Saccharomyces cerevisiae S288C: one gene and its partners. The protein of the gene in region 2 interacts with the protein of the main gene of each other region in a biochemical or structural test. Each region holds a gene or a part of one and is shown on either strand. Other genes may lie near its edges.

Region 1 (4,519 bases), on a different chromosome or scaffold from region 2:
CTAGTAAATTTTCCATATATGAATGCGAGCAAACAAGGTAACAGTATTAGCGTGTTTAGAAGGTATGGTTCACTAGCATAAATAGTAATAGATAGAAGCAAAGCAACCCAGTTCAATGCAAAATCAATTATGTATTGCACGCTGGAAATGCCAGGAGGCATAAGGTTGGAATTTTTCAATAAGTTCCATGATATGTAAGTTACCAAAGCAATTGATGTCACTGCGTTAATTTCTGTTATAGAACCGCCATTGAGCCCTGTCACAAAGTCCTCTTTTCTCTGTTTTAAAGTCGACATATTCTTCTGATGTACTGTTGCCATTTATTTAGATATTTACGTGTCTTCTTATTGCGATCCTCTTTTTCTCATGCTGTTTTTTCACGCGAGCATGTCATGGAAAGTATTATCATACAAAACGGTAATACATATAGATGAGTAGATTTGAATAATGCTGTAGATGGCGTATGTAAATGAATATCTTATAAAATTACGGACTACATTTCAAGAATCTAATTCCTTTGTCTGATTTCTTGTCTGTCGTCTCATAGGTTTTTCTAAAGAGGCAGTACGTTTCTTATCTTGAATGGAGCCATAGGTAACTTGAGTATGTGAAACTTCCTCAGTTCTTGGGATCTCTTCTGGATTAGAAATTGCAGTCGGCTGCTCTGTAGGCACATTTTCTGACATTATTGTGCCCCAACTCGTGGTTCGTTTAATTTGTTTAGGAACGAAATTTTTTGGCAGTGACTCCAACTTGATCCTTTTCGTATCCGGCATTTGTCTCTCTGAAGAAACATCCATGATACTCGATGAGACACTACGCTTTTTTCTTCCAGAATCAGTTTCTCTAATTTTCTGCAATAATTCGTTTTTGGTATCTTTCATAGAGTGCTCCGATAATGAGGAATTGTTTCTTTTCAAAAGAATAGTTTTGTCGATTTTTGGATCATTGTTTTGGTACTTTTTTTCTGAACTAATGCTGGTATAGTATGGTTTTTTTATCTTACATTTAAAATCGTCCTTGTGTCCTCTTGGGCAGATAATACACCACTTGATATTGTTTAAAAAGATTTCATTATTTTCTCCAGATGCAGCGGACAATAATTTAAAAATAAATGCTGGAGTAACTACCGGTATGGAGTGGAATTTCTTGATATATTCAATTTTCCTTTTCATCGAATTTCTCAAGATTGAATTATTTTGAAAATCTTTTCTGTTATTATCACCAGGATCATCATTATTGTTATTAATGCAAAACTGAGTAAAAAGATCGCTAAATTCATTCGACCATAACGGATGGGTTTTCGGGATACTGGGTAAAGCTGCTAAGTTGATTAGCAGAATGTCAGTGGATTTATTGAGGTATTCTACATAATTGATGCCCATTGGTTTTAGAAGATTTAATACTTTAGTCAGATGTAACAGCTCTACGCCAGAGAATCCAGTGATAGTAACATTCAGAAAAGGGGAAGAAGAAAATTCATGATGCAATAACTTTGAAGAAGACGAAACTTGAAACTCTATTGTGCTGAGGAAGGGTTTTGACCATAAATCTATTGGGTGTAGTAATTTTTGATAATACAAGCAGCGTTCAATGAAAAATTCTGTAACTATACCATCATTATCATCTATAATCTCAGGTAAATCATTGAAGGAGTCAAGAGCTTTATTACTTGGAATGATGTAATAAGAATGATCGTAAATGCCGCTCAAGTAAGACGTCTCAATTTTACCCCCATTTTGAACAACAATTTTGGTTAGTATTGAACGGTGATTGCCAGGAAAAATATGATGAATGATAAACGCACAATTTTTGAAAATCAAAGTACTATTATCACTTAAATCTTCTTGTTTGTTATTTATCGATAATGGTGACTGCCCTAGTACTGAAAAATTTGTCTTACTATGCTGCTGTAGAGACATTGCCTTGTCCCATATTTTTTCACCCTTTGGTTTAAATTTATTCAAGAGGGATGATGTTTTCGGGAGCGAAGGAGTCAGGGTACTGGAGGATTGCTGCCGCTGCAGAGAGGATTGGGCATCGATATTGGTTGGAAAGGTGGTGTTTATTTTATCCCAGCAATCGCAAGAGTTTGATCCGATTGAATCATAGGGCAGGTCTTTAATATTTGGTAAAAGATAATAGGGATCGTACGGTAACAGTGCGCTTCTTTTTTGGCAATCGAGAATCCATTTGAAATGTACAATAGGTATATTTTGTTCAATAGCAGCGTTAACTCTTGCTCCTAGTAAAGTATCCGTAACAAAAATGGATATCTGCCCATTCTGACCTTGATCATCGTCATCATTGTGTGAAGAGGTATCTTTGATTACAAAGTTTTGATAGTTATAACTAGAACACCCTAACTTTTTAATACTCCTAACCAATGAATCGATGGAAGTTATGTTAGTGTCGGTTATTCTGCCAATGAAGATATTGAAGTTATGCAAATATTTAAACGAAAATCGCCGGTAAAGTATCTTCAGCATCTCATAGGTGGATCCTGTCATTGTTGCCGTATTAGAGTCCGGCAATATATTTTCTCCAGACAGCCAGAGCTGATAAATGTCATCAATGGCTTGAATGTCAATAAATATGATATCGAATCTATGCTTCACCGCAAATTTAAATTTGTTTGTATTGGTGGTGGACCCAACAACAAGGACATTAACTTGTCTGGTCAAATCTTTAGAAAATATACCTCCTAACTTAATAATTTTCTTTGATATTTTTTTAGCTAAGATTTCATTATTTATTGCAGTCGGACAAAATGTTATTCCTTGAAAGGGCTTCATAGTAATATTAATGCTACTGATAAAATACCTGCCATACTAGAAATAGAAGACTTATATATCACGTAAAATTTGTCTCTTCTTATTCATCATGTACATAAAACAGTACAAACATTACCAATAGTACTATATAGCTTTACCAGGCAATACGCGAATAGTCCATGCAGTTTTTCTTCTCTTATACTGATGAGGGTAAGTTTTGCATTTGATCACCGCCGTATGCGAAGCGGAAAGAGCAAATGCGTTGAAAGAAACCTGGCGACAATAGGAACCACGAGTTCAAGCTAATAATGATACCTCAATGATTATGCCCAGATTACGTTATGTGACTAAAGTAGAAAGGTGAATAAATATAAGTAACGAAACAAGGTTACATGGACTCTTCAATTAAAGAAGGAAAAGGAAGGATTCTTTTGCAGGCAGAAAACATTGAAGTTATATCGCAACAATAACGATGTAGTTATTATGACCTCATAATATGAGAACTTTTTCCTCAAGTATTTTTAAGTTATTCTGTGTGTCATGACTCTCACTTCGTCATATTTTATGTTAGTGCACAAAATGCGAGGTGTGGGTGCAATCAAGACTCCGATCCATTTTCGCCGTTCGACCGGTGTTTTGGCGGCTAAATTTAAGGGCGTGATCTCAGAACTCGGCGGCAAAAAAAAAAGTATATAAGGCAGAAAGCTTTCTGCCTCTCCGATTTCCTCTCCTTTGTTTTCTTTTCCGCTTCAATTTACAATCTAGTTCAGCGGCTAATCCTCTTTACCATTGTTTTCCGTTTATCCTTTGCTCATTCTCCTTTGCTCGATTTCTTTTGCTCGTTTTTTTTTTTTTTTTTTGCTTCTTTTTTTCTTCTCGCTACTCTGAATAGACGATGGCCAAGAGGAAATATGGCAGGTCTTATTCCCTCGATGATACAGATTCCTGCAGCAATAAAGTCCTGATAGTACCAACCGGTCAAAGCTCCTCTAACGCAATCACTGATTTCTCTGTCAGAAAGGCGCATGCTTGCGATAGATGCAGACTGAAAAAAATCAAGTGTGACGGTTTAAAACCGAACTGTTCAAACTGTGCGAAAATTGACTTCCCTTGCAAAACCTCGGATAAACTGTCGAGGAGAGGTCTTCCAAAGGGGTATACAGAACTACTAGAAAAAGAGGTCGTCCGTTTGACAAATATGAATGCGAGTTCCAGCGCCAATGCAAATTCTAATTTGCCGTTCATTAATGATACATTTTATTGTTTTGATAATTACAACACTCAGTCTGAAAATCAAAGGTTTTTGGGACATTTGACATGGAATATTCTAACTAATACTTTTCCTACTCAAAAAGCAGTAGTTTTTACAGACGATCGAAATAATATTGATCTACAACTGCAACTGTTAACAAATTTTTTGAACCTGAATGGTGACTTTAATCATCTCCCAAATTTTCTTTTACTTAAATATGATTATAACCTTCAGTTTTTGAAAAATTTGTTGTCTGTCATTATTAAAGATTTTTTTAAAAGGCAAAATTCTTTGCTACTTCTATTATACCCTACAAATTTATGGAAAAATTTGCTATTAGACAAGATTAATTCAACCGCAATGACAGGTGAACCCATAACTCTACTGGCGTTACTTTATATTATTCAATTTACTTGGTCTTGTTTTGATGATTTCAAGCTTTTTAAAGTCACGAAGCTTATTGTTTCTCTGACAACAAACAGCAAATTAGACT
Region 2 (5,073 bases):
GTCTCTGCGCTTTGACAGGTCCAGCTGATTATCCATTCTGTAATGCGGCTGAGGTAGGTGTCACTGCCAAGAAGATTATTACGAATGTTCGTTTTGATCAGCCCAGGGTTCAAACCGAAAGTATCTATATTCGTGTATCTGTCTTTAGCGTCTATGACCAGACTTTCATTGGCTGCCACAGTGTTCATATGTGTAGCGTAGGCACTATACTTCTTTTCATCAGAATTCAAGTCATCTGGGTCTCCCACCTGACCATTTCCTGGAAACCCTGCTATGAAAACTTTTGGCAAATCGTCTTTTTTTGTCCTACTAATTCCTAATCGCTTCGCCACATCATGGAAGATAATGTATCTACTCAAATAGCTCACTGCCATGTCTTTTTCCAAACCCTCACTTGTAGCTTGTCTCTGGCGTGATGCAAAAATACCCGTAGTGAAAATCAGATGTGTTAACTCCTCGTAGGGAATTTCATCACTATGAGATATACGCTTGCATTCTGACACTAAACTTAAATCAGCCTTGACAAAGTTAATTTTATCTTTTAGGTCCTCGTCCCTAAAAGTTTGCCCGACAACAGTAACCCTGGCATTTCTTTGGGCCAGCTCTCTACTTATTGCACGTCCAAGTCCACCTGTGCCACCAATTATGGCCACATTAAAACGACTAAAATCAATGTCATTGATATTTTTTCTTTCCCAACTGACGGTGGGATCCTTTTTCCAGAACATCCTGCTAAATGCGCCAATATACTATTATTAGTTTTTCCTTGATACGTGGTAATATTCTGTTTGTTGGTTCACCTTTTCATTCACTTGAATTGTTTTAAATTTTGTATTTATACCTCTGCCGATTATTCCTCCCCTAATTGATGATTGCAGATTATGTAATATATATACATATATGGACGAGGCCCCTAATTGAACAACAAAAATAAAAAGTGTAAAAACATGCTAGTCTCTATATTGATAAAAATACGTATGATGTCCATATAAACTATACGTCATGCAGCTGAAGGAATCTAACTGAATACTTAATAGGTTTCTATAAATTACAAATGTTTGTATTATTTACGCCATCACGCTCACCTTCTTCCCCATCGTCCATTAGAGAATCGGTTTTTCTTTGGCAGTTTTAGTCTTCTGAAGTTATTGCTCACTAGATTATACTTCTTTCTACCCTTTCGCTTAGCCGTAGGCTTTTGCTCTGAGCTTACAACGCCGCTGCTTGCCTCCGGATCATGTTCAAATTCAGTATCAGAGATTTGTGAGGTGGATCCCAAAAATTCTGCCACTTTCCTTCTTTTGAGTTTCACCAGCTCCTTATGGACATCTCTCTCAAAACCTGCGGTCTCGGTTTCTGGATCATTGTCTCGTAATCTTCTGATAACCTTTCTTCTTTTGGGTCTCTTTCTTATGAAGGTATCTTCCCTTGCTTGGCTATCATCATTATCATCATCCTCTTGAAATATGTCCTTCACAACTTTTGGTCTAATTAGTTCATCTTCTAGCCCAAAGTCGTCTTCGTGGTTTTTCTCATCGTAACCATTCTCGCCTTCTTCTCCTTCCTCTTCCTCTTCAATATCTTCTTCCTGTAAGACACCAAATTCTTTTACAATTTCAGTATGTTCCCTGGCCAATTCTATCAGGGATTTCGTCAGTGGTCTTCTAATGAGTGGAGACGGACTAAATGAAGTTGAAATATCCGCTTGATCCTTTGAGGGAGTCTTCTGTAAAGATGGATATGCTATTTGAAGCCGGCGTTTAGTGCTTGAATTAAGTGAGATGTTTAGGTGAATGTTTTCTTCATCCAATTTTAGCGGGGAATTAGGTCCATAATACCCCGATGGTTTGCCAGATTCTAGTGGAGGATTAATAGTTGGACTACATTTCTTGATTTCTACCAACTTCCCATTGCGATTCTTGCATGGTGATGAAGTCGGAGTACGTGTAGAAGAAGCGTTTAGCATTTGAAAGTTTAATTGGCGTTTCACACTGGATATTGGTTCCGCCACTAACGTACGATCTGCAGGCGACGATTTTAGGAGAATAGTTTTTCGTGGAGAAGATTCATTAGAAATTGTCTTGGAGTTATCATTGTTAACATCAATATTATTTGTGAATGTCATGTATATAGGCTTTATAGGCGACAAATTCATGTCAAAGATACTAATCGCCTTACCGTAAACTTGGGGAGTAGGGCCTATCTCTACGACTTCGTCGTGGTCTTTTTTATGTGCCGGGAGTTCAACCGACTCTTGAGTGTCAACTTTTTGTCGTTGCAAAGATTGTTTCTTCTTCAGTGTGGAATATTGTTTATACATCTGCCGAACAGTCCGCAGGCTCTTGATGTCATCCCTTGTGGGTTCCCTTTTATTTTTATCAATGAAATCATGCTCCCATGTTTTCAGCTCAATTTTCAATTTGTCCAGTTCAAATGAGTACATCGAACTACAGTTATCGCCTCACTAGATAGATTTCCCTGTCCTGTGGAGCCTGATGTAAATCAAAATTTGATTTTATCATTTTTCTCTTGACGTGTTTCACCATACGCGTAAACGTGATGTGATATACGGAAGATATGTAAAAAGGAAGCAAAAAAAAAAAAAATGAAAGTAAACGGATATGTGAAAATGCTCTTAGGTAATTTGAATATAGTGTATGTATGAGAATAAATAACTAAGTACCAGAAACGGTATATAAATAAAAAAAAAATAATGGCCTTCCAGACCCATATTTGTTTTTCATTTTAACTTTTTTTTTATGATAAAGAAAGAAAAAAAAAATCATTAACATCATTAAAAAACAATCAAAGTTTTGTTTTTTTACTTTTTTTTTTTGGAATTTTTGTTGTTGAAGGAAAAGGACGCCTAAGCAGGCGAAGAATACTATCATTACCCATAATAAGAATTTTTTATTGTATAATATCATTTTGTTTTCGTGATTTTTAGTTGTTTTCGTTTTATTGCAACATGCCTATTTCAAAATACTTGTACCTTTAAAAAATCGACATCTTCGTCAAGGTCGTCGATGAAACTGCTTTGATCAAGTTCATTGGTGGCAGTTGCATCATTGTTGTTATCGTTTAAGTCATAAAGGTTAGCGTTCGACTTCGACGTAGAAATTTTTTTGGATTTCAGAACTTTGGTGTAGTCGTCATCAGTACCGGCACTACCGTCAATACCGGTATCGTTGGAAAACATGAAATTTTTAAAAGATCTGCCATTGTTACAGTCCTGCTCTTCCATCAACTCTTCTAGAGTTGGGGGCAAATAAGAAAACTTATTGTCAGCCAAAGTGATTTCTGAACCTAACTCGTCATGGTGATGCGAATCAGCGCTTTCATCCTGATCCTGAAGAAACAGATAGGTTTCATCGTTCTTTGCTTGGATGTTCGCCTTCTCAGAATTAGTATTTTTTTTCAAAGCACGTGATGAATCTTCTTGTTGTGAACTTGAACTTGGTAAATAATTCCAAATGTCTTCTTCATCTGGCTCAACCTTATCATCTTGCCCTGAAGATACGGTTTCCTCCAAAATTGGCAGATTCAATAAAGACATATTATCGTCATTGTCCACTTGTTGGTAATTGCCACTGTTCTTACCTGTTGTATCGTCCATAGACTGTAAGTAAGAATTCCAGAGATCATTATTTTCGTTAACGTCGTTATTCGTGTTGACTTTGGCATACTTATTGAAAAACTCAAGTTTCTCGAAATCGTTAAAGAATTTAATCTCGTTCAAATCCTCAATTTTGTCCTTAACTTGCAAATTAGTAGGCAAGGAGTGGTTTCTAATCAACGAGACTGAATCTGCTGGAGAGAAATCTGCTGGAGAATCAGGGAATGAAGCCTTATGAGGGATCTTATGAAAATTTAGGTTCATGTTCAAATCTTTTGTCAACTGTGGGACCGGAGTGGCCGATGAAGATGTGGAAGATAAGGACAATAAATCAAAGTCGTTCAACTTTGATTTTTTCGTGGGTGGTGCGTGAACATTTGAAGAAGAATCTATATGATGGTTTTTTGTTAGCAGACTGTTGTGAGCAGCAATGGTTTCCACATCGGTGCAGCTTTCATCGTCCATGAATTCTGATTTTTTTCTATTTCTATAACTTGAAAAAGATGGAGATGAATAAGATGGAGATGAAATGGAGGAGGCAGAAGAATGAAACTTTTCATTTTCCAAGTCATCGAACTTCAAAAATGCGAGGTAATTCGAGTCGTTTATTAGCTTTTCATCGATTGTCTGGATATGTCTTGGTATTTTCCTCTTTTCTTTGGAAGCTTGTTTCCTATTCGAAATGATGTTATTATTATTATTATTATTACTACTGTTCCTGCTGTTAGGGCCAACATTTAAAATATTATTGGTGTTGTTGGCAGGTAGAGTGTTGTGAGAAGATGATCTTCTACCAGGTCTTGGTCTTGGGGGCAAAACCCAATGTTTTGAAGTTCTAACCACCAAGCTAGACTTCTTCTTCTTTTTACTGCCATCGTTTTCGAATTCCAGCGAACTATTGTTATGATGGTTGGTATTTGGGGCGATCGGTACAGGCGCCAATGGAATATTATTATGCTCATTTTTAAAATGGTTACTACGAGGGCGACTAGCGGAGGCCTGTAGTAGAAAAGTCTTTGCGGTCATGATTCTTTTTTTGTTTTTTTTTTGTACTAGAAAATGTAGGTAAAACAAATCAGCAACCCATTAAAATGCTCTTTGATGTACTAGGAGACCAATAAATATGTGTGGAAAAAAAATAAAACTGTGTTTTTTCTCTTCCTATGCGTTTGATAATGATCTGCTCAAATAAATAATGACCCTTTTTTATTTTTCTGGTTCCTTTATAGTAGTATTTTTATATTATTAAGTGTAAAGTGGACCTGTAGATAGCATATACGATATAAAACTGGGGTTTAGAGAGGTGAAGGAATTAATAAAGGTAAAAAAATTAAAAGGAAAAAGGAGATGGACCTAAACAACCACACGGGGTTAAGCAAGAAGAAATTGATATAGGAGATTAGTTAATAGCTTTACAATATATATAATTTATCTAAAAACGATCTCATACTCAATAA
Region 3 (4,650 bases), on a different chromosome or scaffold from region 2:
GGTTTGTAAAGAAGATACTCATGAGCTATTATATAGGATCTTTGGTATTGATGCGAATGCCAAGGCTACTCCAAGCGCTGAAGAAAAAGAAAAAGAAAAAGAAACGACTGAATCTCCCGCAGAAACTACTACCGGAACCTCTACTGAAGCTCCTAGCGCTGCTAATTGATAGTTATCATGTTTCTTATCCCCTCCACTGTAAAGTAAATGTATATTATTAAAAGGCAAAAATAAGAATATAATACTTCAGTAATGAGCCTTTTTTATTCGGTCTTGTTACTTCTTTTTTACTTCATTTTTTTTTTTTTTTTTGGATAGTAAATAATGCACTTTTGACTAGATCTTGAGTATTTAGTTGAATTGAAATTAAAGATACAGTGTATAAAAATTATACAAAAAATAAAGGAAACTTGTATATTGAAAATAGGATTGCCAATACATGGATTGAGACAGAGAATTTTTTATCTTCATATCCAGATATTCGTAGGAATAACAAAGTTTTAGTGACCCAAGGTATAAATTGCGAAAGACCTGCGGAGTTGGCGGCGAACACTGACTTTTTGGGCATCAACAAAGGAATCAACTACAACTTTGATAGCTCTATCCAAATCATAAGAAGACACAAATTCAGATAATCTCATTTTAGCAAAAGATTCTGCAATTCTTAGAATAGATTCTAAATGACGAACTGTGATTGGAAACGAACCTGTAGAAATACTTTCTCTTCTCAAATCCGCATATACCCTGCTAACCTTATCCATATCCATCTGATGCAATTTAGGGTATATTTTTGTCCTCGCATAGTGAATATATTTCATCAATAATTCCTGTGGAATAGGCGAGATCTCTTCCTCCTTCTTCCTTTGTCTTTGAAGTCTTCTTTGCCTTGCATTAAGCTGCTCATTTATTTCATCTTCTCCTTGTTCTATCGCCGATTCGCCATTATTTTTAAGCTCTTCGCCTTCTCGATCTTCATCGTTTTCTGGATGAGATCTTACATGAGAATCGACAACAAATGTGGCCAATCTTTCGTCTGCCTCTTCATCAACAAGGTCTCTGACAACACATAAAATATCAAATCTAGACAGAATAGGCTCGGTCAAACTAACATTCTGAGCTAAAGGCAAGGTTGAATTATATCTACCACCATTAGGATTTGCCGCAGCAATAATTGAGCAGCGCGCTTGTAATGTAGTAACAATACCGGCCTTGGAAATGGAAATACTTTGCTGTTCCATAGCCTCATGAATAGATGTACGATCCTGATCGTTCATCTTATCGAATTCATCAATTAAACAAACACCCTTATCAGCCAATACTAGCGCCCCCCCTTCTAAGGTCCATTCTTTAGTAATAGGATCTTTTCTGACGGATGCTGTCAGACCGACAGCCGAAGCACCCTGACCAGTTGCAAAGACCGCTCTATGCGCTGTTTTCTCGACGTATTTTAAGATTTGAGATTTGGCAGTACCTGGATCACCTAATAATAACACATTGATATCACCACGAATAGAATGTTTTCCATTGACGTTTTTTGGAACACCTCCAAATAATGAGCACGCGACTGCAGTTTTAATATCTCTATGACCATAGATAGACGGTGCCATCGATGATATAATTTTATCAATTATACCACGATCCCTAGAAATCTTTCTAAATTCACGTTCTTCTTCTTCAGTCCAACTGAAAACATCCAACCCTTCTTCGCCTTCGTTAGCTGTATTGCCCTCTCTTCTTTTTATAGAATTTGCCTCGATAATTGTTGCAAAAACGGGGAATCCGTTCTTTGCATTCAAGTTACCATCGTAGTTATTTTTGTAGATGCCGGTAACTTCTACCTCTTCACCTGGCTTGGATACATCTACCAAATCCGCCAACAAAATGACTTCTCTATGTCTTGGTAGACGGCCTGGAGGAACGGTTCCGGGAGCTTCCTGGAGCGTAACCCTTTGATAATTTCGGTACACAGTTTTTTCTCCATTGACTCTAAAGGGACCTTTTGATTTGCAGTTTGTACAGAATGAGATTCTAATTTCTTCATTAGAATCTTGAAAAAATGGGCCCAAAATGGAGCCACATTTCAAACAATTGAATTTGACATATTTTAATTGAGGGAAGACTCCTGTTCTTCTTGTCACCACCCCAGTGACGCGTACTAGAGAGGACAAATTAGACTCACGCAATTCACGTAAACTGTATATTGTTGGAAAATCAGAGATTCTTACGTGAATTTCGGAGTGAATACGGGCATAATCTGGGTAATGCAATTCTGTTGCCTCCATAGCCACGAGATCGAATATTTTCAACATTTCTTCTGGACATTTAGCTAAAAATAGTGCCAGGATGGCTTTGGACTCCGCTAAGTGTCTATAATTAACCTCCAAAGATTCAGAATTCATTTCACCTAATGTTCTAATACGTGCACCATATACAGAACGACCCGTTTCATCTGTATATTCCAGCAGGAATGATTTTAACTCTCTGGCAATAGTTCTTGAGACATTAGGTTGTGTTATCCATTCCGAGTAACTGTTAGCCTTAACGTTACTCAGAGATTCTAAAGTAAGTTCTTCTCTTAATGGGTCAATGTCCATGTCACTCAATAGATCGTCATCACTATTCTCTAAGTCCTCATACTGCCTTCTCCTTCTTCGTCTTTGCACAGGAAGGCCCATTTCATCAAGTTGCGCTGCACCTTCTTGTTCTTCGTCCTCGTCATCTATGTAGGCAACATTTCTCAATAGCCTATCTCTTTCATTTAGTTGAGCATCAATGCGGCGACGTTCGCTTAAAGATAGTTCTTGTTGTTCCCTGTCGTCAACTTGATCTGGATCATATCTATCTCTATTATGATCAGCCGCATAATCCTCATACATATTATCGTCCATCAAATCTACTTCGTTCATTTGTTCTTCAACTTCATCAATATCTGGTACATCGTCAACTTCATTATCGTCACCTTCAGGGTTAATCATATCTGGAGAACCAATAGGTGATGAAACTGGGTTCATCCCCCCTCTAAAATGTTGCTGAGGTGAGGATGGCGGTAGCTCATTTTCTGAGTCCGAATCATCTTCCTCACGTCTACGTCTTCTATTATCAGACATCACTTATATTGTAGTTGTGTTATACTTCTTAGAAAAGAGGCAAAGAGGTGTGTGGAGTATTATTAAGTAAACTGTACCAAAATGTGTAGATTATAGGATATTCACCATTTACTTTCTGGTTTCGTTTCTCGAAATTTTTCGTTGTCCTATTTTCTTCGGTAAGTAATTAGATTTCCTAAAAAAGGCATATGATAAATAATATTACACGCGATTCCGCCATCTTGGGTTTCCCACATACATACTTCACGAAGAAAAGAAAGAATTTAGTATTGTGTAATAAAATTGATGTTTATGTTTAAATATTTACAGAATGTTTAAACAGGTATTTAATCCATTTAGATGAAAAGTTAGTCCTTTTCCTTTTTAGCATCCAAAATCTCAAATTCAGCCTTCCATACTGAATTACCTTCTTTCGTATTCACATCCTTGAATAATTTTTGGAATATATCATTATACCAATCAGCAGCTAAAGGTTCCAACCCTTCCTTTACATTGTCTGGAAGTTCCTCCCAATCATTTAAGTTATCTTTAGGGAAAATAATAGTCTTGGCACCAGATCTTTTAGCGGCCACAGCTTTTTCTCTCAACCCACCGATACGTAAAACTTTACCGGTAAGTGTCAATTCACCGGTCATCGCAACCGTTGGGTCAATCGACTTATTCAATGCTAGGGAAAGGAAGGAAGTGGCCATAGTGACACCTGCAGATGGACCATCTTTAGGGGTAGCACCTTCAGGACAATGCAAGTGGATAGACGCCTTTTCAAAAAATCTGTTCTCAGGGAATTTTTGTGCTAAATACATCTTGGCGAATGAATAAGCAAGCCTTGATGATTCCTTCATAACATCTCCCAGTTGCCCGGTCCTTTCAAATGTTGGATGCTTGCAGTTGTGTAAAGGTTGTTCAAGGACAGATTCTACATAAAGTGAGCAACCTCCCATATTAGTCCACGCCAACCCCATAACTACCCCTGGTGGAGTTGTTTCGTATAACCGGTCTGTAGTGTAGACTGGAGGCCCAACGTAATCTTTTAGGTTTTTCTGGGATATGGAAACATTGATCTTTTCAGAGGTCTTTAAGGCTTCAATGTCATCGCTTGTCTTTTCCGAATTATTGTCCTTAGTCTTCTCCGATGAGCTTTTGGCGTTATTTTCCGCCTTTTCTTCGGAAGAAACGCTTTCTTTAGGCTTGCTGTCGGCTGATGACGTTGGGGAATCTTCAATACTCAACTTCTTTACCACTTGTAGGGCTGCTTTACGGTATATTTTCTCGATGTGTTTTTTCAAATTCCTTACACCACTTTCTCTACAGTAGTACTTCATTAACGCTGTTATTGCATCTTCTGTCATATCAACATGAGAGTTTTCTAGACCAGCGCTTTTCTTGGCACTTGGAACTAAATACTGCTCGGCAATCTTAACCTTGTCTTCAGCAACATATCCTGTCAACTCAATGACTTCCATACGATCCAGTAAAGGTCTTGGAATAGTTTCCAAAGAGTTAGCAGTGCAAACGAAAAGCACTTTTGATAAGTCAATAGGAA

The links.
Region 1: the proteins of SLD2 (region 2) and DPB11 form a complex in vitro, tested with the Saccharomyces cerevisiae proteins (4 studies listed by BioGRID).
Region 3: the proteins of SLD2 (region 2) and MCM2 form a complex in vitro, tested with the Saccharomyces cerevisiae proteins (3 studies listed by BioGRID).

What each region holds. Positions count from the first base shown.
Region 1 is NC_001142.9:262,257-266,775, forward strand, and holds DPB11 (protein kinase activating protein DPB11), read right to left. Parts: upstream 2,796-4,519; coding exon 501-2,795; downstream 1-500. Other genes in the region: GWT1 (glucosaminyl-phosphotidylinositol O-acyltransferase), read right to left, coding at 1-296; SIP4 (Sip4p), read left to right, coding at 3,670-4,519. UniProt on the Saccharomyces cerevisiae protein: Has a role in the initiation of DNA replication. Required at S-phase checkpoint. Required for the association of PSF1 with origins. Also required for the proper activation of RAD53 in response to DNA damage and replication blocks.
Region 2 is NC_001143.9:231,796-236,868, reverse strand, and holds SLD2 (Sld2p), read right to left. Parts: upstream 2,444-5,073; coding exon 1,082-2,443; downstream 1-1,081. Other genes in the region: YKL107W (putative short-chain dehydrogenase/reductase), read right to left, coding at 1-728; transcription factor HAP4, read right to left, coding at 2,978-4,642. UniProt on the Saccharomyces cerevisiae protein: Has a role in the initiation of DNA replication. Required at S-phase checkpoint. Also required for the proper activation of RAD53 in response to DNA damage and replication blocks.
Region 3 is NC_001134.8:174,420-179,069, forward strand, and holds MCM2 (MCM DNA helicase complex subunit MCM2), read right to left. Parts: upstream 3,108-4,650; coding exon 501-3,107; downstream 1-500. Other genes in the region: NCL1 (tRNA (cytosine-C5-)-methyltransferase), read left to right, coding at 1-169; ATP-dependent Lon protease PIM1, read right to left, coding at 3,455-4,650. UniProt on the Saccharomyces cerevisiae protein: Acts as a component of the MCM2-7 complex (MCM complex) which is the putative replicative helicase essential for 'once per cell cycle' DNA replication initiation and elongation in eukaryotic cells.